4 linked regions of the Notamacropus eugenii genome follow. The protein of the gene in region 4 purifies or fractionates together with the protein of the main gene of each other region. This does not show direct contact. Links are inferred from orthologs where the notes say so. Each region holds a gene or a part of one and is shown on either strand. Other genes may lie near its edges. The genes, in order: ANAPC7, ANAPC1, CDC27 and NEK2.

Region 1 (7,286 bases), on a different chromosome or scaffold from region 4:
CCTGATGGAATGGGTAGATGAAAACAATTTGTTCCAAAGGCTATGAAGGTTGCTGAAGCAACTGCTGTGGAGACCTTGGGGCTTGGTCAGACATCGAAGATGCCAAGGTCATCTATTGCATCCTGGGCCATCACCAGTTATCCCAACTTTTGTCCGATGACTCTGGAGGAGAGAGGGAGGCTGAGGACTTTTTGCAGCTCTGCCTCACTTAAATTCAATTCACTCAGGAGTCAAGACATGACCCCAGGATATCACCGGTCATCTTCAAAAGCAAAGAACAAGCAACAACATGTGCCAGGCATTGTGCTAAATGTCAGAGATACACATAAAGGAAAAAGACAGTTCCTACTCTCAAGGAGCTCACAGTCTCCTGAGGGAGATAACATACAAATAACTATGTTCAGACAAGATATACACAGGAGATAATTTCAGAACAAAGGAAGTAGGGTTAAGGAGAACTGGAAAAGTCTTCTTGCAGGAGGTGAGATTTTTAACGACTTCAAGGTAGAATTGAGGAGGGAGAGCATCCTAAGCATGGGTGACAGCCAATGAAATTGCTGGGAGTGTGGAGATGGAGAGTCATGTTCAGGGAACAAGGAGACCAGTGTCACTGGATCTCAGAGTACATGATGAGGGGCATAAGGTACAAAAAAACTGGAAAGGTAGGAAGGGGCCAATTTATAAAAGGCTTCAAATGCCAAATAGTTCAAATTCTTGACCCAGCTCTGACACTGTCTATCTGTGTGATTTTGTGAAAGCTATTTAAATTCTGTATTTTAGGGATGATGCCATGTTTATCAGATTTACAGATGACACAAACCTGGGACAGAGAGAAAACAAACTAATGACAAAGGTTTCCAAAAAGATCTCAAGAGGTTAGAACCGTGAGCTAAACCTAATACATTAAAGTCAGAATCTTAGATTCAACAAAACAACAGTAAAAGTCTAGTTTGGGGGAGGCATGGCTAAACGACAGATCATGCAAAGAAAATGGCTGTTTTTAGCGGACTTCACGCTCAATATAAGTCAGCAGTGAGACTTGGAAACTGAGAAAGCAAATCTAATTTTAGATTGCATTGAGAGGCGTGATAATACTACCTGGTATTTCCATAGTTCCTTAAAGCTTGCAAAATGCTTTACAAATGCGATCTCATTTTATTCCTACAACAACTCTAGGTGGTCGTTCCACATTTATTATTATTTATTATTCCACATTTCACTGATGAAGTATGGCCCCTGAGAAAGGCTAAATAATTTGGCTAGCGTCACACAGCACTTATGGTTCAGAGTCAGAATTCGAACTCAGGTCTTCCTGGCTCCAAGTCCAGGGATGTTGCCCACTGTTCCACCTAGCTGCCTTCATCAAGCAATGGCTGGAGGGAGTGTCATGTTCAGCATAGGGTACCACGTTTTGGGGTGTACATGGACAATCAGGAGTGAGTCTAAAAGAGAATCATGAAAGGATTATAGACATCATAAGAAGATTGTTTGATGGACGTAGGAATGGAAAAGAGAGACTTCTCAGTGGGGACCTGAGAACTGTCCTCAAATACTTGCAGGATGGTCATGTGGAAGAAGGCTTAGCCTTGTTCTGTTTGGCCCCAGAGGCCAGAACTAGGAGCGTTGGATAGAAATTGCAGAAAGGCAGATTTCTGCTCAATGTCATAAGAAGCCCATGTTCATGGGGAAAAATAAAAGATGGAATATTCAAAGAAGCTTGAAGGATGACCAATGATAGTTCATGTGCTCCATTTAATATTCACACAATGTCAACAGAACGTGCAGTTGATTGGGCAGATCTCCTGTAATGGATATATGGGAGGATAATGACAGGTTTCATGGAATATGCAGGCACAGGGGGAAGTGAGGAAGGGAAGAGGCTATGTGGAAAATTGGATAGAGTCAAGAATACCTGAGGACAAGTTCTGTCTCTAAAGAGTTCTGGGTGGGTGATCATTGGCAAGTCACTGTGAGGTCAGTGCCCCAAAACTACTCTAAGATTATAAGTTGGAGAGTAAGGAAAAACTTCCTAAAAACTAGAGCTGTCCAAAGGTGAAACTGCCCTGGGAGACAATGGGTTTCCATTATTACAACTGGAGAGTTTCAAGTTGAGGTTTGATGATTGATCCATGGGTTGGACCAGATGACCATGGAGAGCCAAACACTTAAGTGCATATGATATACTAAGTTCTGGAAATGCAAATAGAAGCAGAAAGACAGGTCCTTGTCTTCAAGGAACATGCACCCTAATGCTAAGAATACAACGCAGAAGAAGGAGCCGAGAAGCTGGGAAGGGGCAATGTTCCCTAGTAGGGGCTGGATGGAAAAGTTGTCTGGAGAGCCAGGAGCCGAGGCAGGTTAGGAATGAGCAGGGTTGATTTGGGTACTTCCCCAAATAGAGATTCCTGGCAAGAATTTACCAATTAGAGAAAGAGGAAACAAGTATTTATGAACTGCCTACTAAGGGCTAAGCACTTCACAAACATCTCAATGACAATGAGGTAGGTACTACTGTTATTCCTATTTTACAGTTGAGGAAACTGAGTCAGACAGAGGTGAAGTGACTTTTGGAGGTGGGAGGAGTGGGAAAGTAAGCTGGAGAGTCAGGAGATCTCTTCCAATCCTTGAAAGTCCCTGAAAATAGCATTTATTTTGCAAATACAAGACCCTGTGCCAAGAGCTGGGGATATAAATACAAACTGTAAAATAGTTGTCGCCCTTAAGTAGCTTATACTCTACTGGAGATGTGATAAAGAGTTAGTGGTTGAATTAGTCACTGGTCTTCTAACTCCAGGGCATTTTCCTGTACCACAGACTTTTTCAGTCCTTTCCCCAGCTACATTCATTCTGCTTGGGATGGTCACGGAGATCTTTAGGAGAGTTATGGTTGTGTTCATCCTTCGTTTTAGGAGAAGACCATGACATCAGAGAAATGACATGGCTTGCACTTGATTTTGAGGGAGGGCTGTGCAAGGTCACCAGCCTCACTTTCTCCTCTTGAGCCATTTTTAGAAGAGTGGGAGTTACTGAATTTAGCTCTAGAAGGATAGGTTGGTTTTTGACCGGAGAGGAAAGCTGAAACTCTTAACTGAAATATCTGTTAACAGGTGAACCGATAAGCTATCTTCCAAGCAAATATAATTTTAGGTAGAACTGTCATTTTTTATTATATTAGCTTGACCTACTTATGAGCAACTGACATTTTTCCAGTCGTTTAGATCTGACTTTGTGGGAAAAGTGTTTGTAATTGTTTTTGTATCGATCCCGGCTTTGTCTTGGCTGGTAGACTCCGGAACATTTTATATTGTCTACAGTTATTTTAAATGGAATTTTTTTCTATCTCCTGTCGCTGGGCTTCGTTGGTAATGAATACAAATGTTGATGATTTTTGTGAGTGTGTTTTAAATCTTGCAATTTTGCTAAAGTTGTTTTTTTCAAGTAGTTTTTTAGCGGATTCTCTAAGTATACCATCCTATCATCCGCAAAGAGCAACAATTTTGTTTCCTTATTGCCTATTCTAATTCCTTCAACTTCCTTTTCTTCTCTTATGGCTAACGCCAAAATTTCTAGTACATATTAAATAATAGTGGTGATAATGGACATCCTTTTTTCACTCTTGAACTGATAATGGGCATCCTTTTTTCACTCTTGAACTTACCGGGAATGCTTCTAGCTTATCCCCTCACCTGTAATGCTTGCTGATGCTTTTAGATAGATACTGCTGATCACTTTAAAGAAAACTCCATTTATTCCTAGGCTCTCTGGTGTTTTGAATGGGCTGCAAATATACTTTTGAGATCCTTTCTAGCACAGAATAGCTGGAAGAAATCTTTGAGATCATGGAGCCCAAGCCCTCTCATTCATTGCTGAAGCTGTCATCCCTATTTTAGTTCCAGAAACGGAGGTGAGGGGACTTGTCCAGGGTCACTCAGCTAGTCGGTATCCGAGAGGAGAGGTGAATCTGGTCTCCCCGATTCCAAGTCCGGGGCTCCAGCCGAGGAGCCACCTAGCTGCTTGGCTTTACAAATGAGGCAACAGAGGCGGACAGTGACGTCCCCAAGGGAACACAGCGAGCGAGTGTCTGAAGTCGGATTTGAACTCGGGTCTTCCGTGGAACGCAGACGGGAGCCTGGGTGCTCGGTGGGAGGCTGGGGGCTCACAACCGCGGCCAGGACTCAGAACAGCAGCGGGACGGAGAAGGATGGAGCGGAAAGCACGTGGCACAATGACTCGCGCAAGCGCGGTTAGCCCCAACGGTTAGGGTTGTCTTGTGCGCGCCTGATGAAAAGATTTCATTTGCCCTTAGAAATTTGTATTCCTTTGAAGGAGCTGAAAATGACGATAACTTCCGCGGTAGGAGCAAAATACCTGCTTTTTCCTCATACATAATACGTTGTGATAGTACTCCCAGAAGGAACGAGGGTTTTTTTTTCACACAGGCGTCGTCCTAGTCTCCCGCCCGTTTCAGCGAGGGGGCCTGACGAGGACCCCGGGCCGGCGGCCATTTTGGCGCCTTCGCTGAGGTGCCGCTCGCCGCGCTCGTCGCCGCTGCCCTCCCCTCCCCCCAGAGCCTGCCGGTGTCCGGTCCCCGCTTCGGCCGCCGCTGGGTCCTCGCGGCCCCTCCGCGAAAGCAAAGATGAACGTGATCGACCACGTGCGGGACATGGCGGCCGCGGGGCTGCACTCCAACGTGCGGCTCCTCAGCAGCCTCCTCCTCACTATGAGCAACAACAACCCGTGAGTGCGGCCCAGCGTGAAAGGTCCGGTGGGGGGAGGGAAACGGAGTGGGGAGGGCCCCTGGGGGCGGGGTCAGGGGCGCGCACCTGAGGGGGTGTGGCTAGGGGGTGCGCGGGCCAGAAGTTGCGAGCGAGGCTGAGGGGGGCGGGGTTAAGAGGCGCGCGACTGAAGGGGCGGGGACTTGGGAAACAACTGAATTGGGAGAGGCGGAGGAGCCTGAAGGGGCGGGATTAAGGGGAGGCAGAGTGAGGGGGCGGGGCCAGTGCGCACCTGGGCCGGAAGAGGGGCGGAGTCAGTGAGTAGCCTGGACGGGGAGAGGAGGCGGGGTAAGGGAGCGCGCGCCTGAGAGGGCGGGGCCTTGGGAAGTGGGCGGGTGGGATTTGGACGCGCGTGCGCGCCTGGGGGCGGGGCTTGCGGGGTCGCGGTTAGGGTTCTCAGGTAGTCTGAGCTGAAACGGGGGTGGAGCACTGGAAAGGGGCGTGACTAGGAAAAGGGGCGGGTCCTTGGGTGTAACTGGCTCTGGAGGTGGGGCTCCGGGCAGGTGCGTGGCTGGGGCGTGGGGGCCAGGGCTTGGCATAGCGGGTGGGGCAGGGCATGCCCTAGGTTGGGCTTCTGTACCCCTTGGTAGGAGTCTATACCCCTTGGTAGGAGTCTATACTGGAGTAGGCTGGGGGCGGGGGCGGGGCGGCTGGAGAAGACTCTTGGGAAAGAGTTTGGAACCTTTGGTTATTAAGTTTCATAGTTTGAATTTCCACATCTCTCCTTTTTTCTCCTGGTGATCCTAGAGCCAGCACAAGGTACAATTAAAGCGAGCAGCAAAATTACGTCTGAAAGCGCAACTGCTTTTTCCTTTGCAGTTAAACATATTTTCTCATCTTATTAGGAAACAGTGCTGAATCTAACATAAAGGTACAGATTCATGAGTTTTCTTGCGCGTATGTTGACGGTGACCTAGATGACATTGTATTACCAGCTGGTGCAGAATGTTCTCATGACCTTTTTTTAAAAGTAACTCTGTCCTGCAGAAATCTAAGTTCATTCACCTAGTGGATGGTTGGTTGTTCTCCTTCCTCTTCAAAGAGGACCAATATGACATCACCATGATAAAGTGACATTTCAGTGTGTCCTACTGTGACTGATCAGACCAAAACAGGCTCGGAATGCTCTACCACAGGTTGGGCACAGATAGTTCCTGTGAATATTTGGGGTGGATATCCTGCGTTTACTTTGTGCTGTCTCAATTCTGCTTTGCTCATAGAGCACAGCACCTTTTCTGTTATGGGCACGCCATGCTGAGCGGTCCTGTGCCAGTGTCTCCATGTTGCACAGTCAAATCCAAAGTTCTTCAGAATGCCCTTGTATCCTTTCTTCTGATCACTATGCGATCTCCTGCCCCATGAGAGTTCTCCATAAAAGTCTTTTTGGCAAGTGTACACTTTGCATTCGAACAACGAGTGTTCTAGTGGATACTTCTTTTTGAAAACTGTACTCTTATTCTGAAGTTTATTAACATAATCTTTAAACTAGAAGAAAGAAAAACAATTCAATCAGCATGTGAGAGAAATTGTTGAATGTAATACTAATACTTTGAGGTGGCTGGGTTGGGAAGTGGATAGGGCTCTGGTCCAGGAATCAGAAAGACTTGAGCTCAGATGCAGCCTCACACACTTCCTAGCTGTATGATGCTGGGCAGTTCATTTGACCTCTCTCTGTCTGCCCTGGTTTTTCATTTGTAAAATAGAGATAAAAGCATCTAGTTCCCAGGGTTGTTGTAAGATTCAAATGAGGTCCTATTTGCGAGGCACTGTATGAATTTGGACTGCTGTTATTCTTATTACAGTAGCCTCCTAATGATTCTTCCTGCATCCAGTCTCTGCACTCTGTTCTGGCTTCCGTTCAGCTGCCTAAACGGTATTCCCAAGGCATATCCCTTATGTCCTCCCCTAGGATCTGCTGTGGTTTCCTTCTATCTCTCATGCTCCTCACTCTGGCTGTTACAGCTCTCCATAGTCTGGTCTCAGCCAACCTTCAGTTTATTTCACTTTCAGCGTTAACATTGTTTTTGTTCCAATTAAACTGTCTTAATTGCTGTTCCCTAAGTTTGGCATTCCATCTCCCTTTTCTCTGCCCTTGCCTAGGCTGTCCTGCATATATGGAATGGGTTCATTTCTCACCTCCATCTCTCAGAATTTTTAATTTCCTTAAAGGCTCAGTTCAGATACCACCTCACCAGCCTTTCCTGATCTTTCCATTTGTTAGTGCCTGTATTTCCTAATCTAAGTACATATTGCATTTCCTGTAAGGTCCCTAATGGCAAGGCTTGTTTTCTTTGTTTGTCTTTATATCTCAGCTTCCAAGAAGGAGGCCTTGGCTTGAGTAGGTAGGAAAATGTGGGATGAAGAGACAGCAGGCTGGACTGGTTTAGGGAGAGCAGTGCTCCAGAGGTAGGTGAGCCTGTGCTGGGGACCCTTACGGTCTGATTAGGATCCAGTGGTCTGGATATCCCAGGTGCTGGGGAATCACAGTAGGGCGACAATAATATGATGTAG
Region 2 (7,935 bases), on a different chromosome or scaffold from region 4:
CTGGGTTGGTTGGACTGGATAAAAGAAGATGTAGGGGTCACATGATAGCTATTTTCAAGTATTTGAAGGACAATACTATAGAAGAAGGATGGGATTTGTTCTTAGTCTTCAGAGGACAGAACTAAAAACAATTGGTTTAAATTGGAAAAAAAGGAAATTTAGTCTTAACACAAAGAAAACTCCCTAACAACTAGAGAAATCCAAAACTGGAATAGGCTGCTGGGGAAGCTGTCAGGTTTTTTTGGAGGTCTTCCAGCAAAGACAGAATGATTACTTGTTTGGAATATTTAAAGGAGATTCTTGCTTAGGTATGAGTCACATCGGGTGACCTCTAAGGTCAATTCCAATTCTGACATTCTGTGATTCTCAGACTGGGGAAACTGAAAAGCAACTATTCCCTGTCTCTATTACAATTCAATATACTAGTTGACAAAAATACTACCAAAATAGAAAGAGTGACGCCAAGTGGACACATGTGAGACCAAGAAAAATAAAGTACTGATTATTGGAAAAGATAGGAAGTGTTGGTGAGAGATTTAGAAAAAAAAGAAAGGCAGAAAGAAAGGAAGGAAGGAAGGGAGGAAGGAAGGAAGGAAGGAGAAAAGGAAGGAAGGAAGGAAGAAAGGAAGAAGCAGGACAGGATAAGAGAGATGGCAAAAAAATCTGAACAGTGAAAAAAGAAAAGCAGTCATCCTGAGATGCCTGTGAATCTTTCAGGTTTTCAAGTCAATTGACTAGATATGTGGAACATTCCATTCCACATACAGGAAAACAAATGGAATTAGTTCAGGTATATCAACAGATTAACCACATCCAAAGCACAAAGTACTACTGACAGGACTACAGATCCTTCCAACAAAGTGATCACTTATTCTGCTGCATTGGAAAAGAGCAGCCTGAAGCAGAAAGGCATTCAGGGTCACACCATCTGAGAAAATACCAGCTCTGGAAGGGGAAAATAATATTGCTGAAATATTAAGACAAAATACATTTCTACAAATAATACAAACTGGACATTTTAATCTTCCTATTAGCTGAAAGAGCTAAGCGTGCTTTTAACCTTTCCGTGTCTCTAAATTCCACTATGATTATGCCTATGGAAAAGGCAAAAGAAAAATGGCTGTGAACTGTTGGGATTTAAAATTTTTAATTAGTCTATAATTTGGCAGTGTGAAGTTGTGGATAGAGAGTGTAGAATCTTGGAGCAAGGAAGTAATGAGTTCAAATCCTAATCCTGACACATACTTTCTCTGTGGCCATAAGTTATTGAACTAAAAAGTTGCTTATCCTTATCTATATCAGCAACTGGAGTTTTTAATACTGGTTATTGATCTAGACTAAAATAAAAAATGACATTATGTTATTAAGCTGCCCTCAGTGTAAAAAGTCTTAATGAACTACTTAATTATATAGATCATTACTTTTCTACTTCAACAGATCTGTGATTTCATCTGTGTGGATGCTACCTACAATGGTACAGATCACATCTTATCCATGCTTTCTTATCCTGAGCTACTTTGGTTCACATATTCTAATAAATAATCCACCGGAGATTCATAAAATGTAAGTGATTACTGTAATAAAAAGTAAAATATTTTTTTCTCTGATAGGGTTATGTTAAAAGTCTCAGAAGTTTTATCTTAAGAAAAACTTCTAGACCTAGGCCTAGAGCTTCATAGCAAAAACCAAGAGTTAAAGAAAAAAATTAATACTGTACTCTGTTTTAAGGCACAAGTCTTCTAGAAATAATTTTTTTGATATAACATTCTATTTCCAAGTATCTCTAGTCTAGAGAGAGCAATGTCCAAACTGGAATATCATAATTGCTCTGCATGCTCTTGGAAAGTTGCTATACCTGAAGATGATTTGAGGTAACATTATCAGGAATCTGGAACAAGGAAAATATCACAATATGTTATTAACATTCCATTAAAAATAGTCATGAAGATGGTGAAGTAAAAGCAGCATGTCGCTACAGCTCTCCCCTCCAAACCTAGCCAAATACCTATAAAAAAATGACTCTAAACAAATTCTGGAGCTGCAGAACCCAGAGAATGATGGAGTGAAATAAATCTCCAGCCCAAGACAGTCTGGAAGGTTGATGTGAAATATCTATTGTGAGCAGAGCTGCAGTCCAGTGTGATGAGCAGAGTGCAGTTCAGCATAACCCGTGCTGGCACAGGTAGGACTTAAGCAGGGACTGAATTACTGGCACCTATGTGGTTTCCAGACTTCGCAATCCCAAAACACTGAGGACAAACTGGAAGGTCAGTGGAAAAAAACCTGTTGGGCCTATGTGAGAGAGTAGAGTAGGGCCCCAGGATGGCAGAGGGGGGCAGAGGATCCTGCAGCAGTCATAGCAGCTCTTTCTGGAGCTCCAGGCCTATGGATTGTGGGGGGATTGAGCAGCTGATAATACAACCTCCCATCCCCACTAGAAGCAGAGAACTACCTTGACAAAGACCTTGAGTCAAGTAAATGACTGGGAAAATGAGTAAAAACCAGAAAAAGAATCAGACTATAGAATCTTACTTTGGTGACAAGGAAGACCAAAATATACAAACAGAAGAAGACAACAAAGTCAAAGCTCCTACATCTAAAGCCTCCAAGAAAAATATGAATTGGTCTTAGATTATGGAAGAGCTAAAAAAGGATTTTGAAAATCAAGTAAGAGAAGTCAAGGAAAAATTGGAAAGAGAAATGAGAGTAATGAAAGAAAATCATGAAAAATGAGTCAACTGCTTCTAAAGGGGACCCAAAAAATGCTGAAGAAAATAACACCTTAAAAAATAGGCTAACCCAAATGGCAAAAGAGATCCAAAAAGCCAATGAGGAGAAGAATGCCTTAAAAAGCATAATTGGTCAGATGGAAATGGAGATCCAAAAGCTCACTGAAGAAAATAATTCCTTAAAGATTAGAATGGAGCAGATGGAAGCTAATGACTTTATGAAAAATCAAGAAATTATAAAACAAAATCAAAGGAATGAAAAAATAGAAGACAGTGTAAAATATCTCACTGGAAAAACAACTGACCTAGAAAATAGATCCAGGAGAGATAATTTAAAAATTATTGGACTACCTGAAAGTCATGATAAAAAAATGAGCCTAGACATCATCTGTCAAGAAATTATCAAGGAAAACTGCCCTGAGATTCTAGAACCAGAGGGTAAAATAGAAATTGAAAGAATCCACCAATTGTCTCCTGAAAGAGATCCCAAAAGGAAAACTCCTAGGAATATTGTAGCCAAATTCCAGAGCTCCCAGGTCAAGGAGAAAATATTGCAAGTAGCCAGAAAGAAACAATTCAAGTATTGTAGAAATACCATCAGGATAACACAAGACAGCAGCTTCTACATTAAGGGATCAAAGGGCTTGGAATATGATATTCCAGAGGTCAAAGGAGCCAGAATCAAAACCAAGAATCACCCAACAAAACTTGAGTATAATACTTTGAGGGGAAAAAATGGTCATTCAGTGAAATAGAGGACTTTCAAGAATTCTTGATGAAAAGACCAGAGATGAATAGAAAATTTGACGTGTGTGTGTGTGTGTGTGTGTGTGAGAGAGAGAGAGAGAGAGAGAGAAAGAGAGAGAGAGAGAGAGAGACAATGAACATCTTCACAAATTTTTACCTGAAAATGTTATTGTTATGTCTAACTCTTTGTGATCCCCTTTAGGGTTTTCTTGGCAAAGATATTGAAGTGGCTTGCTATTTCTTTTTCTCTCCAACTTTCAGGTGAGGAAACTAAGGCAAATAGGGTTAAATGACTTGTCCAGGGTCACACAGCAAGCAAGTATCTGAGGCTAGGTTTGAACTCTGGAAGATGAATCTTGCTTGCCCAAAGACAGGGTTGTGGGGGAAGGGGAAGGAAGGAAAAAGGGAGGGTGAGAGAGCATGTATGAGAGATGTTATCTTGATTCACATCTATGGCTTTGTAATGGTAATTTAAATGGGAAGAGCTTTCCCATTCATTGATAGGCCCATGTGACCTATGGAAGCCTAAGTAACATGTGGTAGGAGGAGCTTGCTGAATAGTAGAACAGGAAGGGTGGAGCAGAACTGGGAGGAAGTTGGTGAAAGCAGTTAGAGCAGAATAGAGAGAGAACATAGGCAGTCTTGTGAGTGTTTGCTTGTGGGAAAGCCGCAATGGGGAGGAAGGCTTGGAAATGGCTTTGTCCCCTGTAGTGCTAATGTGTATTGACTTCTTGGTTACTATGATGGATTTGGCTTTCTGGTGTCTGAATAAATCTTTTTCTTTTGCCTTCTATATGGAGAGTCTGTTATACTTTGTGATTCAGAATTATGCTGGCATATTCATCATCTCCCTTGGTCCTATGAATGTTGCCTTGGAGATACAGACCTACATTCTTGGTAATTCTGCCCTTAAAAGGTAATTATAAAGTATGTTTTGTTTATGCCTCCAGTTAGATAGCAAAACTCTGTAAAAATAGGTTGGGGTTGAGTTTCTAGCCTTGTAGTAGGAAAGGTCCCTCTCTCCTGAGTTGCTCCCCTTGCATCCTCATGCTGAGAAAATTAAAAAAAAAAAAAGATTGGAGGAAGGGGGACATGCAGGAAATATCAGAATTAGATCAACCATATGTGTTTATGATTAATAATATATTTTGACAACTCACTTTTTTAACAGAATAAATTTTAGGAACATACTTAGGTGGAAGTAAGACCAGAGTGGGGTGGGCCCCATTCTTTCATTTCTCCCAACTAGCTTGTTTCTCTCAGGGCTCTTGCTATCTGGGCAAGTCCCTATGATAACACAGTCACCCAACTCTCAGGTTGTTCACTTAGATGTCATCTCTCATATTAGGGTAGCTCAACCCCACTCCCCATTTTAAAACCCATTGTTCCATTCTAAAGAATAGAACTACAGATGTCTAGACATCCAAAGATGAAACTGTTCCCATAGTTTGGTTGTTGCCATGGAATGGCTGCTGGCTATCCTTTTTCTCCTCATTCTCCTAGTGCTCCGTGCCCCAAAACTCCTATTGTCAACTTGTGACTTTCTTCCCTATGTCAGAGGGCAGAACTACACATTCTATAAGTTTTTGTGGCCAGTCAACCCTTTCCTAGGAATTGTTAGCTCTATAGGTATACCTCAGAGACCTCCCTCCCCATAACTTAAAGCAAATATCACAATAAAGTGAGTCACACAAGGTTTTTGGTTTTCCAATGCATATAAAAGTTATGTTTACCTTAATGTACTAAGTGTGCAATAATATTATGTCTAAAAAACATGCATGCCTTAATTTAAAAATACTTTATTGTTAAAAAACGCTAACCATCATCTGACTCTTCAGTGAGTCATAATCTTTTTGCCGCTGAAGGGTCCTGCCTTGAGGTTAATGGCTGCTGAAGAGTGGGGTGGCTGTGGCAATTTCTTAAACTAAAACAATGAAGTTGGCCATATTGATTTACTTTTCCTTTCACAGAAGATTTCTCTGTAGCATGTTCTGTTGTTTGATAGCATATTACCCCCAGTAGAACCGCTTTCAAAACTGGAGTCATTCCTTTCAACTGCTACTTTCTCAACTAAGTTTATGTAATATTCTTCAATCTCAGGGAATAGGGAGAAGGGAGAAAGGTCATTGGAGCTGTCAAAACACATACACACAACACTTCAAGATTTATCTGGGTCTGATTTTTGGTGCCTCAAAACAATTACAATGGCAGCATCTAAGATCACTGAATGCAGATCACCAGAACAGTTAACAATAATGAAAAAATTTCAAATATTGTGAGAATTACCAAAATGCGACAGAGAGACACAATATAAGCATATGCTGTTAGAAAAGTGGTACCAATAGATTTGCTGGATACAGGGTTGCCACAAACCTTCAATTTGTAAAACAATTTGTAAAAACAAAAAAAATGTAAAATTAGTAAAAAAAATTTTGTAATTTGTAAAAGCAAAACAAATTAAAAAACCCAAAACAAACAAACAAAAAGCTTGAAATAGTTCATAACAGATATAAGGAATAAAGCTGTACTGGAAAATGTTTTTAACAGCTAATTCTTTTAAAAAAATACTCAGGACACACTTTAAAATTTACTCTCCATGATTAACATTTTCTACAGTCTAGACAACAAAACAATAAATCAAGCTTTGATTTGTAGTTGGCTGATTTCTAGTTCTTTAATCTCTGGAATTAGTTCTTTCAAGACCTTAATCTGAAAGGGCCAGGGTCTCCCATTGCATCCTGGGCCATCTTCAGTCATCCTGATGAATATCTGACCACTAGACCCAGGTGGCTCAGGAGAAGAGAGTGAGGTTGGTGACTGCACAGCCCTCCCTCACTCCAATCAAAGTCAATTGCAAGTCATGTCATCATCCTGACGTCATGGTCCTCTTCCAGAACTAAGCACAAACACAACAAGCTGAGGCACAACAGCCCAGTGCAGAAGGTGATCCCTGAACTGGGTCTTGAAGGAAGCCAGCACTGGGGAGACAAAGAAATAAGTGCAACAGGTCTTACCCTCCAGAAGCTGACATTGTAGGAGAAGAGAGAATGGGTCCACATAGAAGCATATACTAATTAAGTATATAAGGGTAAGAGTAAGGTAATGAGGGGATGGGGGAGGGGACCAGGAAAGACCCTATGGAAAAGACGCTGTTCTTGCTGAACTCTGATGGGGGGAAGGGATTTTAAGAGGCAGAGGGAGGGCATTCCCTGAAAGGGGGAGGGGTGGCACACAGCCTGTGCCAGGGAGGCAGGAGAGGGGCTGTCGGGGTGAGGCCAAGGTTAGACCCAAGAGGGCGAGAACAGTAAAGAGGGTAACCCAATAAACCCGGAAAGGTGAAGTTGGAGCAGTTTAGGAAGGATTTAAGAGCTTAGAAGAAGGTAAGAGATCGGTGCGTTAAGCTAGCACTATTTAAATGAAAACAACCACAAGCCCTCCCTCCTCCCCCAATAAATGTGACGGCCCTGCTTCCCAGCGCGGGGTGGAGTTTCGCTTTCATAATTTTCTTTCAGGGTCGGGGGACCAGGACCAGGACTCCAGCAGCCCGCCAAGGAGCCTCAGCCCCCGCGGCCCAGGTGTGCCGGCTTTGCCCCGCCCTCCTTCTCTCTCATTCGCTGGCGGGCTCCCTCTCGTCCTCTCCCTAGGCGGATCTAGAGGGCTCAAGAAGCGAGGCGGAGCATCCGCATCGGGCCACGCCCCTTCTGGGCGCGGGGCATGACGGGACATCCAAGATGGCCGCGCCCATTTGAACCTCTCGCCCGAGCCGCTCGCGCGCCCGCCAGCTAGATCTTCAGCCCTCCCGACAGTAGAGGCACCGCGTCGCCCTCCCGCCTTCCCCGCCACCGCCACCGCTTCCTCCGCAGCCCGGGAGGGAGAGGAGGGAGGGCATGAGAAGTTGTAGCGGCAGAGGAGTCACCGCCACGCATCGCTCCGCTTGCCCGATCCCGTCTTCGCCCCGGTCCCCGCGTCTCCGGGGAGCAGCAGGGGCAGCGCCCGACGTTTCCTGGGTCACTCAGGTGGGCGCGCCCCCCAGAAGGTGCCGAGGCCAAGCCTCCGCCGGGTCCGGCCTGGATGCTCCCCTGGCGCCTTTCCCTTCCTCCCGGTGCCCTGGGCTCTCCTGTGCGCTCCCGCCAGACTCCTTTCACCCCGACAGCCGCGGCCCCGCCGTTTTCTTGGCTTTGGGGGTGGGGGACACCGGGTCTCTCGGGGCAGAGGCTGCCCAGACTGTCCCGCTTCGCCCCTTGAGGCAGAGAAGGCGCGTGTCGCCGCGTAGGGGGAGCCGGGGCCTTGCCCTCAATTGTTTCAAGTTTCGTTGTGGGGGGGAGGTTTTATGCGCAGGCAGGTGTCTCCCCGGCCAGCGCGTGTGGAGGTTCCAGGGGAGAAACTTGTAACAAGTACGCTTCCATCTTGCCCCCGCTTCCTCTGAAAGTGCTCTCTCCTTCTGAACTAGTGTCCTCCC
Region 3 (8,160 bases), about 80 Mb from region 4:
TTCTAAGAGATGAAAGGTTGCAGCTAGAATGCTGAAACCAAGGATCAACAAGTAGACCTCTTTATTTTGAGATCATAGTGTTTCATGATTAGCAGCCATCTAACATCTATAGGAGAATATCGGTCTGAAAAAGGTAGGCTTTTCTAGCAATAAACAACTTGAGATCTTTGAAATCCCAGTGCAATTTCCCAAATTTAATGCCAGCTAGCCCTATCCTGTTCAATTCTGGGCCCAGTTCACTATTTGTGGCATCTGAACACAATACATGCAGTAGTGAACTAACTGAATAGGTCACCCATAATAATTGGTATCTACATAGCACTCAAAAGTTTACTAAGTGCTTTATACATACTATGTTATTTGTGCCTCCCAACAAGCCCATATGGGGTAAGTACCAGAGGCATTATTATCCTTATTTTAAATGAAGAAACTAAGGCTTGTTGAGGTCAAGCAGTTTGCTCCAATTATACATATGATACATCAAACTCACCCATGTGTACACATACACACAAACACACATATTGTCATGCATAGTTAGTAAATGTGAGAAGCAGGATTTGAACCTAGATTGTCCTGGCTCTAGATCTAGCACTATGTACTGTATCACACTGCCTCTCAGCATTCCCAGCCAATTCAATGTCTTAATCTATCAGTAAGTCAACAAGTACTTATTAAGTGCTTATTATGTGCTGAGCACTGTGCTAAACACTGGGGACACAAAGGCAAACAGTCCCTTCCCTTAAGGAGCTCAGATTTTTATGAGGAAGACAACATAAAAATATCTATGTGCATAGAAGATATATAACATACAGGATGCTTAAAACTATCCTAAGCTGCTCTCTCTCTCTCTCTCTTCCCTCCCTCCTTCCCTCCCTCTACCTATCTATCTATCTATCCTGACTATGTGACTTGGGCAAGTCATTTAAGAAAGACTGTTTGCCCAAGTCTCCTCAACTGCAAAACAGGGATAGTAACAGTCCTTATCTCCCAGAATTATGATGAAGAGCAAATGAGATAATATTTGAAAAGTATTTTGCAGACTTTAAAGTGCTGCATAAACCATTTGAATGTATATTACTTCTTCTATTAGACTGGACAAATTTTTGCTTTTTTTGTTGTTTTCTCAGTACTCAGCATGGTAGCCAGCACATAGTCAGTGCTTAATAAATGCTCTTCAATTTACCAATAGATCATGCAGAATGACACCTTCTTATTTATGCCAACTTTACCTTGGGCATGTTATATTAGATAGATGATGGCTCATCCCACCTTAGTTACATGAAAGGCAGCGTGGTACAGTGGAAAGAGACCTGGGTTTGAATCTCAACTTTGATATTGACTAATTGTGTGACCATGAACTAATCATGTCAATTTTCTGAGCCTGAGTTGCTTCATCTACAAAATACCTATAATACTTACCTTATAGGAAAGATATGTGAGGATCAAATGATGTAAGATACTTCGCAAACCTTCCAGTAACTATATGGACATCATTATCTATCTACCTACATATCTATCTACCTGCCTGTTAATCTATCTGCCTTCTGTCTACTGAGAGACAGAGAGTAGCTAGAAGGTAATCTGAGAGGGAAGAGGCACTAGCAACAAGGGGATAAGGAAAGGCTTTCTGCAAGTGCAATGAAATAGAGACAAGAGTGTTGTGTGTGAGAAGCAGAAAAAATTCGAGGAGGCCAATAAGGTATAATAAGACGATTAGAAAGGTCAGAAGAAATCAGATCATAAAGTCAAGTCAATTAGCATTTATTAAGTACATACTACGTGCCAGGCACTGTGCTGAGATTAATTTGGAAGAGTGTTAAATGCCAGACAGAAGACTTTACATTTGATCCTGGAGGTTAACAGGGAACCACTGGAGCTCACTAAGCCAAGAGATGACATGGCCAGATTTGTGCTTTAGAAAAAATCACCCTGGCAACAGAGTAGAGGATATGTTAGAGTAGAGAGAGATCTGAGGCAGGAAGATGGTTATTGCAATAGTTCACAATGCAGAGTAATATGCATGTACAAATGCATTTTACATCCAATTTGCTTTTCCACACAATTTATAATTTATATGCATCTTGTGTTTTACATATAGTCAGTGGATTAGTGGAAGAATCAAACAAGAGGCACCCCCAGAACTTCACAAGATTTTATATCACTATGAGGTTAAAACCCAGAAGAATCAACACCAAATGATTTATAAGGTTAACCATTTATGGAGGAGGTGATTTGTAAAGGGTATCTCCTAGGTCCCCATCAAGGACTGATGCTGTGTGAAAGGAGCAGAACCAGGAGAACATAATACACAGTAACAACCACAATGTGGGAAGAATTTTTCTGGTAGACTTAGCCCATCACAACAAATGCACTCCTTTCACACAGCATCAGTTCATATAAGTCCTTCTAGGCCTCTCTGAAGTCCTCCTGCTCATCATTTCTTATAGCACAATAGTATTCCTTTACATTCATATACCACAAGTTGTTCAGCCGATTGGGGCATCCCCTCAATTTCCAGTTCTTGGCCACAAAGAGAGCTGCTATAAATATTTTGGTAATGTGGGACTCTTTCCCATTTTTATGGTCTCTTTGGGATACAGTCCTAGAAGTGATATTGCTGGGTCAAAGGGTATGCGCATTTTTGGCATACTCTATGGAATGGTTGGATTAGCTGAGCTCCACCAACAGTGAATTAGTGTTCCAACTCTCCCACATCTTCTCCAACATTTATCATCTTCCTGTTCTGTCATATTAGCTGACCTGACAGGTATGACTACATCTCTATCTATAAGAAATATAACTGATGTTCATATAGTATTGAAAGGTTTGCAAAGTGTCTTTCATCATTTGATCCTCACATCTTTCCTATAAGGTAAACATTATAGGCATTTTGCAAATGAAGTATCTCAGGCTCAGACATGACTAGTTCATAGTCACACAATTAGTTAAGTATCAAACTTGAGATTCAAACCCAGGTCTCCATCTACTATACCATGCTGTCTTTCATGTAACTATGGTAAGATAAGCCACGATCTATCTAATGTAACATGCCCAAGGTAAAGCTGTCATAAAAAGAAGGTGTCAATCTGCATAATCTTGATAAATTGATGAACATTTATTAAGCACTGACTATGTGCTGGGTACCATGCAAAGCACTGAGAAAACAACAAAAAAAGCAAAAATTTGTCCATTCTAACGGATGAAGCAATATACATTTAAATACTTTATGTAGCTCTTTAAGGTTTGCAAAATGCTTTTCAAAAATTATCTTATTTAATCCTCACCGTAACTCTGGGAAGTAAGGATTATTATTATCCCTATTTTGGAGTTGAGAAAACTTGGGCAAACAGAGGTTAAATGACTTGCCCAAGCCTGAGTTTAGATTTGGACTCGGCTCTTTCTGACTCCAATGCCAGTGCTCTATGCCACTTATAAGGCTAGGTATAGAGGGAAAGCAATCTTAACAGCAGACAACCTTAGGGTCAGATAGAGGTGGTACTTGAGCTGAGTCTTGAAGGAAGCCAGGGATTCTAAGAGACAGAGTTGAGGTGGGAAGTGCATTCCAGGCACAGAGAGCAAAAAAAAGTAAGAATGTATTAATGCGTTTTCAGGAGGAAGAGCATTCTGATTCCAAAGACTAGAAACTTCTTATTCAAATACATCTCTCCCTAGAACTGAGAAGAACAACTTATCAAGCCACCATAGCTTGAAGGAAATATTCCTTAAGGACACCAACTCATTTTGCTCTCATGCTTATCAAGCAGTGTTCTAATCTGTAATTTGGCCTCTGGAGTAAATAACTGGAGTTACCTTGCCAGATAGCTCTCCCAGTGCAAATTAATAATTTGGTATTCTAGTGGATAAATCTGTCTCTTGTCAGTTTGGTTAGTGTGAATCGATTCCCCTTGGCCTGAAAGCCTAGAGTGAACTTATAAAAAAAGAAAGGAAGCTTTTATGAATTCCTCTACTTTGGGATATCATTTTTCAAATTATTTCCTACTTATTTTTCTACGTAAATGTTTGTTGTATCCTCTTTCCCTTCTTCCTAAGCAAAATGCAAGCTTCTGAAAGGCAGAAATGGTTTTTTCCTTTTGTCTTTATTTTCCCCTTCTCCTAGCACAGTGCCCTGAACACAGTAGGTGCTTAATAAGGTCTTCACTCGGTTTGCGTAGCCCCTCCCCTCCAAAACTAAGCCACAGATTAAGACACATTGTGGGTGTGTAATAAATGGCTTGTTAAATTGAATTAACTGTAAAGGGCCTGACCCAGCTTGTGGAGGCTCCCAAGGCCTAAGCCGTATCTGCACATCCGAGGCGCTTAATAAAGGCTGGTTCAATTCCATTTAAAGGCTTGACGCAAGGATTCCGCCGCACCTGCACATGGTCGCTCCTGTCCAGGTTCCCAGATTCAGGACCGGAAGAGACCTCCGAAGCCGTCTAAGTGAATCCCCTTCTTTTAACCGACGAAGCCGCCGAGGGCCTGGAGCTTAAATAACACGACCAAGGTGGTGCTGGCCACGAGAGGCCCTGGCCCACACTCCCGCTACAGCCCGCGGTTCCGTACGTCCACATGGCGCACTGGGCCTCCGAGGCCCGGGCAGCAAGGATGAGGCGAAAGCACCGAGCTAAAGGGACTACAGCGGGCGGGCGCCGCGACCACGCGGCGAAGCCCACCGCCCGGCGGCTCACGGCCAGCCTGCTTGCAGCTGATTGGCCGAAGAGCGCGCGGGTAACTGAGCTCGAGGGGAGCGTGAGCTTCCTCCGTCTAAGCCAGCCTCGGTTTTCCTTTGGCTAATCTTCTAGCGTTTCCGGCTACGCTCTGCCCCTCCGCCAGCCTTCGTGTTTTTCCGGTCGAACTCGGGCATTTCCGGCTAGCCCTAGCTTCGGCGGTTTCCGTGCTGCACTCGGGTGGACTCGGCAGCCGTTCGGCCTCCCCCATCCCCCGGTAACGGTCGCTGCTGAGTTTAAATGAGCCGGGGCTGGGCCGGGCCGGAGCCGCTACGGGGGGGCCTGAGGCGCGACGGAGAGCGGGCCTGAGCCTTAAGAATGACGGTGCTGCAGGAACCCGTCCAGGTAACGAGGACCTCGCCCCCTTCAGCCCCAGGCGGCGGCGGCGGCGGCGGCGGCGGGGGTGGCGGCGGGGAGGCCACGCTCGGGCCGGGCCGGGCTGCGGCTCGGCTCGGGCAGGGCCTGGCGCGGCCTAGGCCCCGGGACGTTGCTCCTCCTCCTCCTCTGCGGACCGGCCCGGCCCGGCCCTCAGGACGCCGGATCCCGGGCCCACGCCCCCGGGAGCCCCCGGGCGGGGACGGGGTCCCAAGCGCGCCCCCGCCCGCCCCTCCTGTCAGTCCCCGGGGGCGCCTCGTGGACGCCACCGGGGAGGGAGAGAGGGAGCCGGAGTCCTGCAGGCGGGAGGGTCGGCTCGGGTCGGCTCGGGTAGTGTCTGTAGTGGAGGGGGAGGAGGATTGGCACCAGGCTGGCTAGGCGTCCCCCGGGAACCCGCGAGTTTGGGGATGGTTTGCGCTTTTTTTTTTTTTTTTTTTTTGGCGCGGTTGCAGATTTGGGGCAGGGGGGCAGGGAGTGAATGGTGTCTTAAAGGAGAGCTTGGCCTTTGGGTGACTTGGCCTTTCCCCAGCTCCTGTTGCTTTCTGATTTCAGTGTGAATTCACCACTGGACATGTGGCTTAGCCTGGCTGGAATCAGGTATAAGATACAGACACTTGCCTAACAGCCACAGTAGGGCAGGGCAGGGCAGGGTGGGGATGGTATCTATGCCAGGTTTTTCTATCACAGATAATGATGGGATCACGGGGTATTTTTTTCTCTTGCACATACAGAAAGTGGAATTTAAAAAAAAATTCGAATACCTTTCCCATCTTTTTTTAAACCCTTAAATCTTCACTGTCATTACCAAATCAGGTATGTTTTTCATGTTCACTGTTCTTTTGGGATGGAATAGAAGAAATCCTCTTGGATTTTGAGAATACGATGCAGTGCCAAATCATTTTTTGCTATGCTTTCTGAAGGAACTGAGTCCTTTGTGCCTTGGTGATGCACCAGGTTTGGGGGTTGGGGGGGGGGGTTACATTATGTCAAATGAGTTGACCTGTGACGTGGGTTTCTCTATGGTTTTAGAGCTGCTGCTGCTGCTGATGATGATGGTCAGGAAAGACTAGGTAGTATCCTTATGGTTTTGAGAAGTGTTCTGTATTACCATTAATGTACCTGTTAACTACCAACAAATGAATCTAACAGTAAACATTTAAATAATGTCATCCCCATTTATTCATTTCAGAGCCCTTAGTGTTTGAGTCAATGTGATATGGGGCTCTAATTTAGAATTGTAACCATATACAAGATATCCTAGTGCAGTAAGTGAAAATCCAAAAATATTTTCTCATTTGACCAACTAGCATTTCTCTTTTCAATAAATAAGCTTAAATTAAAAGTCCTGCCTTTTGGGGGCCTATAAAAGAATTGATAGCTATCTATGCCCAGTTTCAGTTTAGTGAGTATATGCTTGCTTCTGTTACTTCATTTGCATTTCAGATTCATTTCATCCAAGACATTTTATGCTGATACTGAGTTATAAATTTGCTTCTTCTAGCCTCAAAAGATTTTTTTTAGAACCTGTCTGCCAAGGTTGTAAGGATCAAATGAGATAATATTCGTAAATGCTTAACATACCTCTAGCACATATTAGGTGCTATGTAAATGTTAGCTATTATTTTTTTCCCCTAAAGTGATTGGCTTGTGTCATTACTGAAGTGCCACTATTACTTAATAATTACACAAAGGAGAGGAAATTTGTGATCCAGAACCCTTGGATGATACACACCAATTTTCCTTCCTTTCCATCCAAACCTTCTTATCAATGATGCACTTCAGGCCTTCTTAAGCCTTAGAATCCAGTAGCTTATTAAATTCATATGGTGAAAAAACCCAACATATCACTGCCCTTTACTTCAGAGAGGTCTTTTGTCCAGGTGAGGTTTTTTCTAAGATTTGATCTGTAGAGCAATATGAGTTCACTACCAACCTTTGATTAGGTGGTATGGTCAGGAGCATTGAGCAGACATCTTTGGCTACTGCCAATGAGGATCAGTCAAAATGGGGTGGTGCTAGAGGTTGAGGCAGGGGCTGAGATTGGAATTAGCAGGGAAGAGGAGTTTGTAGTAGCACAGCAGAAAGATAAATACACATATAAAGGTGCTATTTGTAAAGATAGAGGGAGGCATATATGGGAGTTTTGAGTAGTCCACCAAGATTTCTTATGTCATCTCAACTGGCTCTTTACTGCTTTACAGAAACCTTTTATTGGTTCCTGATTAACTTGCTTTCCCATTCCCTACAGTCTCTGTTACAGACCTCTGCTGTCCTCAAGCTAACTTTACCCTCCTGCCCCCAGCAGAGGATCTGACTTTATATGTCACTGAAACAAATGAGCCTACCTATCATGAGCTCCCCTATTCTTCCCATTTCTACTGCACTTCAAGTGCCCAGCATTATCCCTAATTCTGTACTCCTTTGCTCCAGAGGAAGAGGGCCCTCCCCCAAGCTTGGCCCCACAATCATCCCTTTTCTATAATTTTCAAGCTTTCCTCCCTTACCTGCTGGATCTATCCTCACTGTCTTCAAACATGCCTTACTCTTCCCCAACCCTAAAAAAAATATAAAACAACCCAAAACTTTCACTTGATCTTATAATTTTTAAAAAAGCAAAAACTACCAAAACAAATCTTTTCCTTTTTTTAAATTATATTTTCAAGTCATTCATGCTCCACTTTTGCACCACTAAACACCTAGGAAAAGTTGTCTCCACTCATTACTTCTACTTCTCAGCTCCTTGCCGTCTGGCTTCCATTCCTACCACTCAACTGAAATTGCTCTTTACAAAATAATCTCCTAATTACTAAATTTAATGGCCTTTTCTTGGTCCTCACCATTCTTAACCTCTCTGCAGCATCTGACAGCATTGACTATCCTATCCTCCTTAATAATCTTTCTTTTTTCGGGGTTTCCATGACACAGTTCTTTACTGATTCTCCCACCTGTCTGACTATTCTCGATCTTTACTAATCACTATTCTTATTCAGACTTCTAACCATGAGTGTCCTCTTTGTTCTGGGCCCCCTTTTCTCTCACCAATGTCCCTTGGATCTCA
Region 4 (7,762 bases):
CTGTTTGCCTCAGTTTCCTCATCTGTAAAATGATCTGGAGAAGAAAATGGCGAACCGCTCCAGTATCTTTGCCAAGAAAACCCCAAATCTTTCCATGAAATGTTGGATATGACTGAAAAATGACTGACCAACAAAAGAAAAGGCAGTAATGAGAACACAACTGGAAAGAGCAGATTGTACCAACTTTATATAGAAATGCTGGAGGAGGCACAATTGTGAGAACTTTGAGGGTTCGACATGTATACGAATAAGAGGAAATACCAAAAGTGTGGAAAAAATAATCTGAGCATTTTAATGTGGAAGAAAGGTGATTGAGAAAATATTACCTACTTATTCTTCCACCCATATAAAATTTTTCTATAAGTCATCAATACATGTATTGAGGGCATCCTTATTGAGGATAGTAGTAAGAGACAAGCAGGCTTTTTACTATTTCACAATTGACTGAAAATGTAAAAAATATAAGATCTCTTTGAGCTTATTATAGACAACCTATAGAGCTAGTCCATTAGTACCTATATCTAGTATAGACAAAACAGCCTGGCCTACAGTTGAACAGGAGAAAGTGGGCTAAATTGCCTTCAGAAAATTGCAAAATTCCATTACTGTCCCCAAGTCTCACCTGCAAACAAAGGCCCATCTTTTTGATGTCAACATTCTACTGGTCCTGTTGTATGTCAATGAAAAATGGAATGGAACAGTCTCCAATGAATTAAAAATGAGTATCATGAAGAAAGTCATGGCACTGCACGGTGGGTAAAAGTAGAAAAGGACAGAAGTAAAAGAGATCATTAAGGAAACAATAAGGAGAAAAGACAGGCTGGTCACATGGTAAGAATGAGGGATGACAAGTATACAGCCAGAGTACTCCATATCCACAGGACTAATCAAGATAGCCTTTAAATTATAAAGGGTTTAAGAATGATTCTACTCTGTTTTCTGTCATATAATAAGAGAAATAGTTTGGTGTAGTAGATAGATAACAGAGCTTGGAACCAGAAGTGGGTTTGAAGTCCCACTTCTGACATGTTCTAGCTTTGCCTTACTAGACAAGTGATTTAACTTCTGAGTGCTCTAAGCATCTGTTCAGGAATGGAGAGAAGATATTAAACTGATTTAGTAGAGGAATTTCCTTGCCCAGAGGAGTCCCCTCTATCAGTGAAATATCAGAGATGAAGTTCTTATCCCTTAATAATGAAAATATTGTTATACAACCCTTCATAAGAGTAAAGGCTCCATCATTAGAGAAAAATAACTAAATTATCTTCCTAAGCATCCCAGTTGGCTCCTCAGGTGGGAATTTGCAGAGTTGGGACCTTTGAAAAGGGTTTCAAAAGAGCAATTGGCATCTCTGACAGAATACTTACGCAACTTCCCGCTAAATCCTTTTTCAGATGAACCTTTACAATCCGGGGCCTCCTGGTGCCTTCATCCAGCTGACATTAGAATTCTGCACTAACTATCTGATGTCAAAACTTGTTGAAGATCATAGTATTAAATGGTTCTTGAGTCTTTTGGATACTAGACACTCTATTTTACTGACTTTTTCACTGAACTGTTTTTTTTTTCAATCTTATGACTAAACCAAAACCTTATTGATTCTTCAACATCCAACACAAATACCATCATAGAATATCCATCATTTAGAATTAGAAAGGAATTTACATATCATTTAGTTCCACCTTTTCATTTTATAGACAAGGACACTGAAGCCTGGAGAGTTAATGTGATTATACTGGGCTAGAGAGAGGGTTAGAAGAAACCTCAGAGGCTATAGTCCAACCCTTTCATTTTATGAATGTAATTTGACTTTCAGGGAAAGTCTGGTTTATTACCACTCATAATCCTTTCAGGTTACACAGTTGACAAATTGAGACTAAATCAGTCTGTCAACAAGCATTAAGATCCTACAGTGAGTTATTCCTTGTGGGGATACAGGAAAAATAGTCCCTCTTCCCCAAAGATTAATTATTAGACGCATACAATACATGCAGAAAATGGATGGAAGCTAATCTTAGAGGGAAAGGCATTAACACTTAGGTTGTGTGGGTATGGAAGTGAAACCAGCAAAGACTTCCTCCAGTAAGTGGGATTTGAGCTGAGTCTGAAAGGAAGTCAGAAAAACTGTGGTGAAGATAAGGAGGGAAAGCATTCCAGGAAGGAAAACAGCCAATTCAAAGACCGAGAGACAGAAGACAGGGTGTTGTGTTTGAGAAACATGCAGCAGGTCAGTGAAGCTGGATGATAAAATGCAGGGAAGGGAGAAAAATGTAAGAAGACTAGAAAAATACGAAGGGGCAGGTTATAAAGATCTTTGAATGACAAAGCACTTTTATTACAGAAGGTAATAAGTTACCACTCATTGGAGTTTATTTATTGAATAGGGGAGTGTCATCAGCAGACTTCCGGTTTAGGAAAATCATTTTAGCAGTTAAGATGGATTTAAAAAAGGGAGAAATTTAAGAAAGGGAGATCAATTAATTGGAGAGTTATTGCAGTAGTCTAGGTGACAGGTGATAAGAGCTTGAATTAGGCTGGAGACTGTGTGAATGGAAGGAGAGAGTGATGCGAAGGTAGAAATGACAAGATTCAGCAAACAGATGAAACACAGATGAGGAGTCCATGATGACACTATGGCTACAGAACCTGAGAGCCTGGGAGGAGAGTGGTATTCTTATTACTGAAAGGAAGGTTTGGAAAAAGGGAAGGTTTGAGAGAAAAAAACAATTATACCTTACAATTTGAGAAGCCCAAAAGGCATTTAGGACTTTTTCTCAGCATAAAGAAGGGAAAAGGATCCACACATACAAAAATATTTATAGCAATTCTTTTTGTAGTGGCAAAGAATTAGAAATTGAGGGGTTTAATTAGGGAGTGACTGAACAAGTTGTGGTCTATGAATGGAATGGAATACTGTTGTTGCATAAGAATTGATAAGCAGGTGGACTTCAGAAAAACTTGGAATGCCTTACATGAACTGATGTTGAGTGAAATGAGAACATTATTCACAGTAACAGCAACATTGTATGATGATCAACTTTGATAGACGTAGTTCTCAGCCATACAGTAATCTAATACAATTTCAAATTGGAAAATTGAAAAAATACAAATTCAAAATGGAAAATGCTATCCATATCCAAAGAAAGAACTATGCAGTCTGAATGCACATCAAAGCATACTATTTTCACTTTTTTTTGTTTTTTTCTCATAGTTTTTCCCTTTTGTTCTGATTCTTCTTTCACAATACAACTAATGTGGAGACATGTTTAAAATTGTTATATGTGTATGGTCTATATCAGATTGCTTGCTGTCTGATATAGGAGGGAAGGAAAAAAATTTGGAACTCAAAATCTTATAAAACTGAATGTTGAAAACTATCTCTAAGTGCAATGGGGAAAAAAAACTCAAAAAACTATTAAGTGCGAGAAAAAAAAGGAGCTGAATCTCAAGAGAGAGATTAGAACTGGACTAATGGATCTAGGAATCATCTGCATAGAAATGATTATGAGCCTATGGGAGCTGAAATCACCTGGTGAGATAGATAGAGATAGCATTTGAGGGAAAAGAGAAGAGGACTCAGGAGACAGCCTTAGGAGAACATCTGGGTGTGATTGCAAAGAAACTGAGGAGCAGTCAGACAGGTAGAAGCAGCAGCAGGAGAGAGCAGTGTCCTGAAAACCTAGAAGGAGGAGAATATGAAATTGAAAAGGGTATCATGGGTGTGCTGGTAAATGTTCAACAACTGGTTCTCCTAAAAAAATTTGCACAGGCAACACTTTTAAATTTAATCTGCATTCTATAGCATCTTCTCCATCGCTTTCTTCCATGTACAATTCAACTGAACAATAAATCAAGCTCTGATCTGTAGCATTTTCCAATTTCTAAGGAGTAAATTTCACAATTTGTCAAACTGGCTCCAACAGACCCAACAATGTCAAATGCCATGGAGAAGTCAAATAAGAATGAGGAAAGACCATTAGATTTGGCGGTTATAACTAGCACAGAAGAAACCAGAGAGTACTTTCGGTTGAACGATCAAGTTGGAAGCCAGATTCCACAGGGTGACTTGCCCAGCTGTCATATAAGTAATAGGCGCCAAAGACGGGATTTGAACTCAGGTCCTTCTGAGTCTAGAACCTGTGCTCTTCTACCACTAAGACCCCATCCCAACATCAAACCATGGGTCTTGCATTTGAGTCCAGATCTTCTGATTCTCTCTCTTTGCGAAGTTTTCACTGAGGAACATTTCGCTCCCCATCAAAGCATAACTCATTATGAATCCAGAAACACGTCACACCTGCTTAGCACACTTATCAGATCCCATCGCAGGCTGTTATTTGTCACGTTATCTAATATCGCCTATTAGATCACCTGAGGTTCGGGGTTACCTAGCACACTTAGGTTTATTTAGCGCATACTAGGTTTGATTTGATCCAGTTTAGGTGTCCTGAAGACCCAGGCGGAACGTGTCTCTCCTTCCCTAGACCAAACGTATACATTGTTGTTCCTGCTGTCTTTAGGGCTTCCGATCTAAGACTTGACAGCTTTTTACAGTCCCGTTCAAGCCCCGCCCCTTTCCCCACCCCATCCAGCCTATCACCATAGCCACACCCACAGCAGAATCCAGCCTAGCTGGGGGGGGGACGGCGGTGTGCAGAAGCGATAAGGGCAGTGTGCAGAGGTCAGAAGGCAGTGTGCACAGACCTGGGTCTAGGATCCGCCTAGAGCCGCTCGCTGAGCCCCGCCCCTTCGTTTGACCCCGCCCCCTTTCTCAACAGTCTCTGAAATCCGACGCCTTCGGGGTTGCTTAGCGACTCCCTTTTCCCAAGATGCTAAGGTTGTTATTTCGCAACTGTCCAATCAGGGAGGCGGGGCGGCGGGCCGTCAGCCAATAAGCAGCTAGGCAAAGCCCGCGACGGTTAAACGGCACCGGAGGCCCCTGCGGCCTCCTCTCGGGTACTGCCTGGGTGTCGGGCTTGTGCTTCTGGGCCGATTTTTGGCGGCGGCGGCCGATCGGGAGCGATGCCTTCCCGAGTGGAGGACTACGAAGTGCTCTTCACTATTGGTACCGGCTCTTACGGCCGCTGCCAGAAGATACGGAGAAAGAGCGACGGCAAGGTGAGAGCGAGCGCCTCCTCCCGAGCCCGGGCCCAGGCCCGCGGCCGAGGCGTGCGCTGCCTTCCCCGCCCCCTTGCCCTGCGGCCGCCAGCTGGGAAGGAAGGGGAACCGCCCCCTCCGCCCCCTCCGCCCCCACCCCTACCCCCAGCTGCGGCTCCTGCTCAGCCCCGCGGGCCGCCGCGGTGCGGGAGGAAGCCTGGAGGCCCGCGTGTTCCTCCTCCGGCCGCTGCCCTGGGCCGCACGCCGCGCCTCGGACTCGCCCTTGGACCTCTCCGCGGCCCCAGCCGGGTCGCTGGCACCCGCAGGCTGTAAGAGACGTCCAGGACCTAGGTCGGTTCCCCCGAAGGGGGAAGGCGTGGGCGCCACCTTAGTAGGGTAGAAGGAAGTCCCCCACCTTCTCCGGGGCTCCCGCCGCCTCGCCGGCCGCACTTGTTCCCCTTTGTAGATGAACTGTTTACTCGGAGTTGGGTTTGAACCGGTATCCGCGGGGCGGGCCGACGACTTAGGCCTGGGCTTTCTGAGAGCCCACTGTATGCACTGTTTTGGGGGGGCGGGGTGCGTGCAAAGTGTGTGCGCCTGCTGTCTGCCTTCTTAACACGTGGAGTCTAATAAAGGCTCCTGCAGACAGCTACAGTATACATTACTGTATGCATTATGTGGCCCGGGTCACTGCCCTGACACTTAGCTCTGTCCGTCTGTCTGGGTGTCAGTGTTTTCCGTCCTGCTGTGTCTTTCTGTCTCTTTCCTCAGTCTGTTTTTCTTCTGTTTTTGCCTGTTTCTGTTTTTCTCCAGTTCTTACCGTGTCTGTTTCCATCAGTTTTTCTTTCTGTCTCCCCGCCTCTGTTTTTCTTTCCATTTCTGTGTTCTTTCTTGGTGTGTCTGCCTTCGTTTCTGTTTTTCTTTATGGCTGAGTTTTTCTGTTTCTCCGTATGTCTCTCAGTTTCTGTCTCTTTCTATTTTTATTTTCCTTCTGTCTGTTTTTGTTTCTGTCTTCCGCCTTCTCCTGTTCTTCCTCTTTCCTCCTCTTTTTCTCTTTTCTTCATCTTGGCTGTACGACTGTCCTCAGTACCAGTTTTTAGTAGTGGCACCAATTTCAGCAAACATCCCTTGAGCACCAGAGATGGTGAAACCAAGGCCCAGAAAGTTAAGGACACAAAAGTTGTGTGTAGCCGCAGTACATCTGGATTTCAACTCAGCGCCCCTCACTCTTGTGTCCATCACTTTCCATCATGCAACAGGGCCTCCCAAATCACTTTTATGGGCCCTAGTTTTTTCACCTGTAAAATGAGAACATTGGACTACATGATCTTGTGTATCTATCTAGCAGCTAGGTTGTGCAGGGGATGGACTGCTGGGTCTGGAGTCAGGAAGACCTGAGTTCATATCAGTCTTCGACGTTTGGACACTTAGACTGACTGTGTGACTCTAGGCAAGTCATTTAACCTCTGTTTGCCTCAATTTCCTCAGCTGTAAAAGGGGGATGATAATAGCACCTACCTCTTGGGGGGGTTGTGAGGTTTGAATGAGATGTTTGCAAAGTGCTTGGCACAGTGCCTGATTCATAGTAGGCGCTGTATAAATGCTTATTCCATTCCTTCTCCCTCTAGTTGTAACCCTTAAGTCCTGTGATCCACATAAGATACTTTGGTTGGGATCTCAGCTCCTTCACCCTGTGTGACCTTGGGCAAATCTCCTTTCTCCTCTCTGGGCTTTAGCTCCCTCATCTGTAAAATGAAGGAATTGATTGTAGGTTGCTTCTAAGGTTTCTTCTAATCTAAAACACTACCATGTGCAAGTCACCATGCTTGGTTGTAGGTATAAAGGTGGAAAAAAAGAAAAAAAGGCATGATTGTTGCTCTCCATAATTATAAAACTTGAGTTTCAGTATGGCAGGGAAATAGGATGGGCACAGAATCAAGCACAGTTGAGATAAAAGATGTGACATCTGTGCTGTTCTCTGAAATGGAACATTGTTTTCTGAAGTGGGAAGTGGGCATGACCACTGGAACCTGAATTTGAGACTCCTTTTAAATCTGTATTATCACAGGTTATTGTAACCATAACTCCCTTTCTGTTTGAGGTAGATGTTTTATAAAAATGTAAAGAAGGAAGGAAATTATGTCCCGTTACTGAGTATACTTTCTTCAACCTCTAATGTCTGCATCTCTCACAGCAGTGACTGTCAGCAAACAGGGTTCTTCTACATCTGCTTCTGAATAATACAGCTCCTACTATAGTTGCAAACCAAAATAATCCATTGGGAGGAAAACTAGGTAGATGTCATTGACCCCAAATTGTATGAGCTTCTTCCTTTGAAATTGGAAGAGAAGGGGTGTCAACAAGCTAATATGGTGTTTGGAGAATTAGCAGATTACTGGGATCATCTCAGATAGCCGTGTGCAAGATTAATTGCATGTAGCCCTTGAAATTGGGGGTAGGTGGTACAATAGGAAGGGCAGTTGATTTAGATGCAGTGGACTTGGTTTCAATTCCTGGTTCTTTGAGTACCTACGAGTATATGTCAGTCTATGTGCCTTTCAGTTTCCTTAAAAAATAATGATAGTAGCTAACATTTATGTAGTGCCTTATGGTCTGCAAAACATTGTGTATGTGTATATGTGTAATGAAAAAGTATAACTAGATT

Evidence for each region.
Region 1: the proteins of NEK2 (region 4) and ANAPC7 purify together in Homo sapiens (affinity purification with mass spectrometry; 3 studies listed by BioGRID and IntAct, with this or other methods). This does not show direct contact. The link is inferred for Notamacropus eugenii from reciprocal best matches to the Homo sapiens genes NEK2 and ANAPC7.
Region 2: the proteins of NEK2 (region 4) and ANAPC1 purify together in Homo sapiens (affinity purification with mass spectrometry; 3 studies listed by BioGRID and IntAct, with this or other methods). This does not show direct contact. The link is inferred for Notamacropus eugenii from reciprocal best matches to the Homo sapiens genes NEK2 and ANAPC1.
Region 3: the proteins of NEK2 (region 4) and CDC27 purify together in Homo sapiens (affinity purification with mass spectrometry; 6 studies listed by BioGRID and IntAct, with this or other methods). This does not show direct contact. The link is inferred for Notamacropus eugenii from reciprocal best matches to the Homo sapiens genes NEK2 and CDC27.

The regions. Positions count from the first base shown.
Region 1 is NC_092875.1:35,969,522-35,976,807, forward strand, and holds the start of ANAPC7 (anaphase-promoting complex subunit 7), read left to right. Parts: upstream 1-4,089; 5' UTR 4,090-4,353; intron 4,354-4,439; 5' UTR 4,440-4,636; coding exon 4,637-4,737; exon of another isoform or gene 4,738-4,760; intron 4,761-5,177; exon of another isoform or gene 5,178-5,278; intron 5,279-7,286. UniProt on the Homo sapiens protein: Component of the anaphase promoting complex/cyclosome (APC/C), a cell cycle-regulated E3 ubiquitin ligase that controls progression through mitosis and the G1 phase of the cell cycle.
Region 2 is NC_092872.1:603,639,327-603,647,261, forward strand, and holds the start of ANAPC1 (anaphase-promoting complex subunit 1), read left to right. Parts: upstream 1-4,835; 5' UTR 4,836-7,492; intron 7,493-7,935. UniProt on the Homo sapiens protein: Component of the anaphase promoting complex/cyclosome (APC/C), a cell cycle-regulated E3 ubiquitin ligase that controls progression through mitosis and the G1 phase of the cell cycle.
Region 3 is NC_092873.1:346,410,434-346,418,593, forward strand, and holds the start of CDC27 (cell division cycle protein 27 homolog), read left to right. Parts: upstream 1-4,979; 5' UTR 4,980-5,045; coding exon 5,046-5,072; intron 5,073-8,160. UniProt on the Homo sapiens protein: Component of the anaphase promoting complex/cyclosome (APC/C), a cell cycle-regulated E3 ubiquitin ligase that controls progression through mitosis and the G1 phase of the cell cycle.
Region 4 is NC_092873.1:426,649,386-426,657,147, forward strand, and holds the start of NEK2 (serine/threonine-protein kinase Nek2), read left to right. Parts: upstream 1-4,691; 5' UTR 4,692-5,022; coding exon 5,023-5,118; intron 5,119-5,190; exon of another isoform or gene 5,191-5,448; intron 5,449-6,442; exon of another isoform or gene 6,443-6,547; intron 6,548-7,762. UniProt on the Homo sapiens protein: Protein kinase which is involved in the control of centrosome separation and bipolar spindle formation in mitotic cells and chromatin condensation in meiotic cells.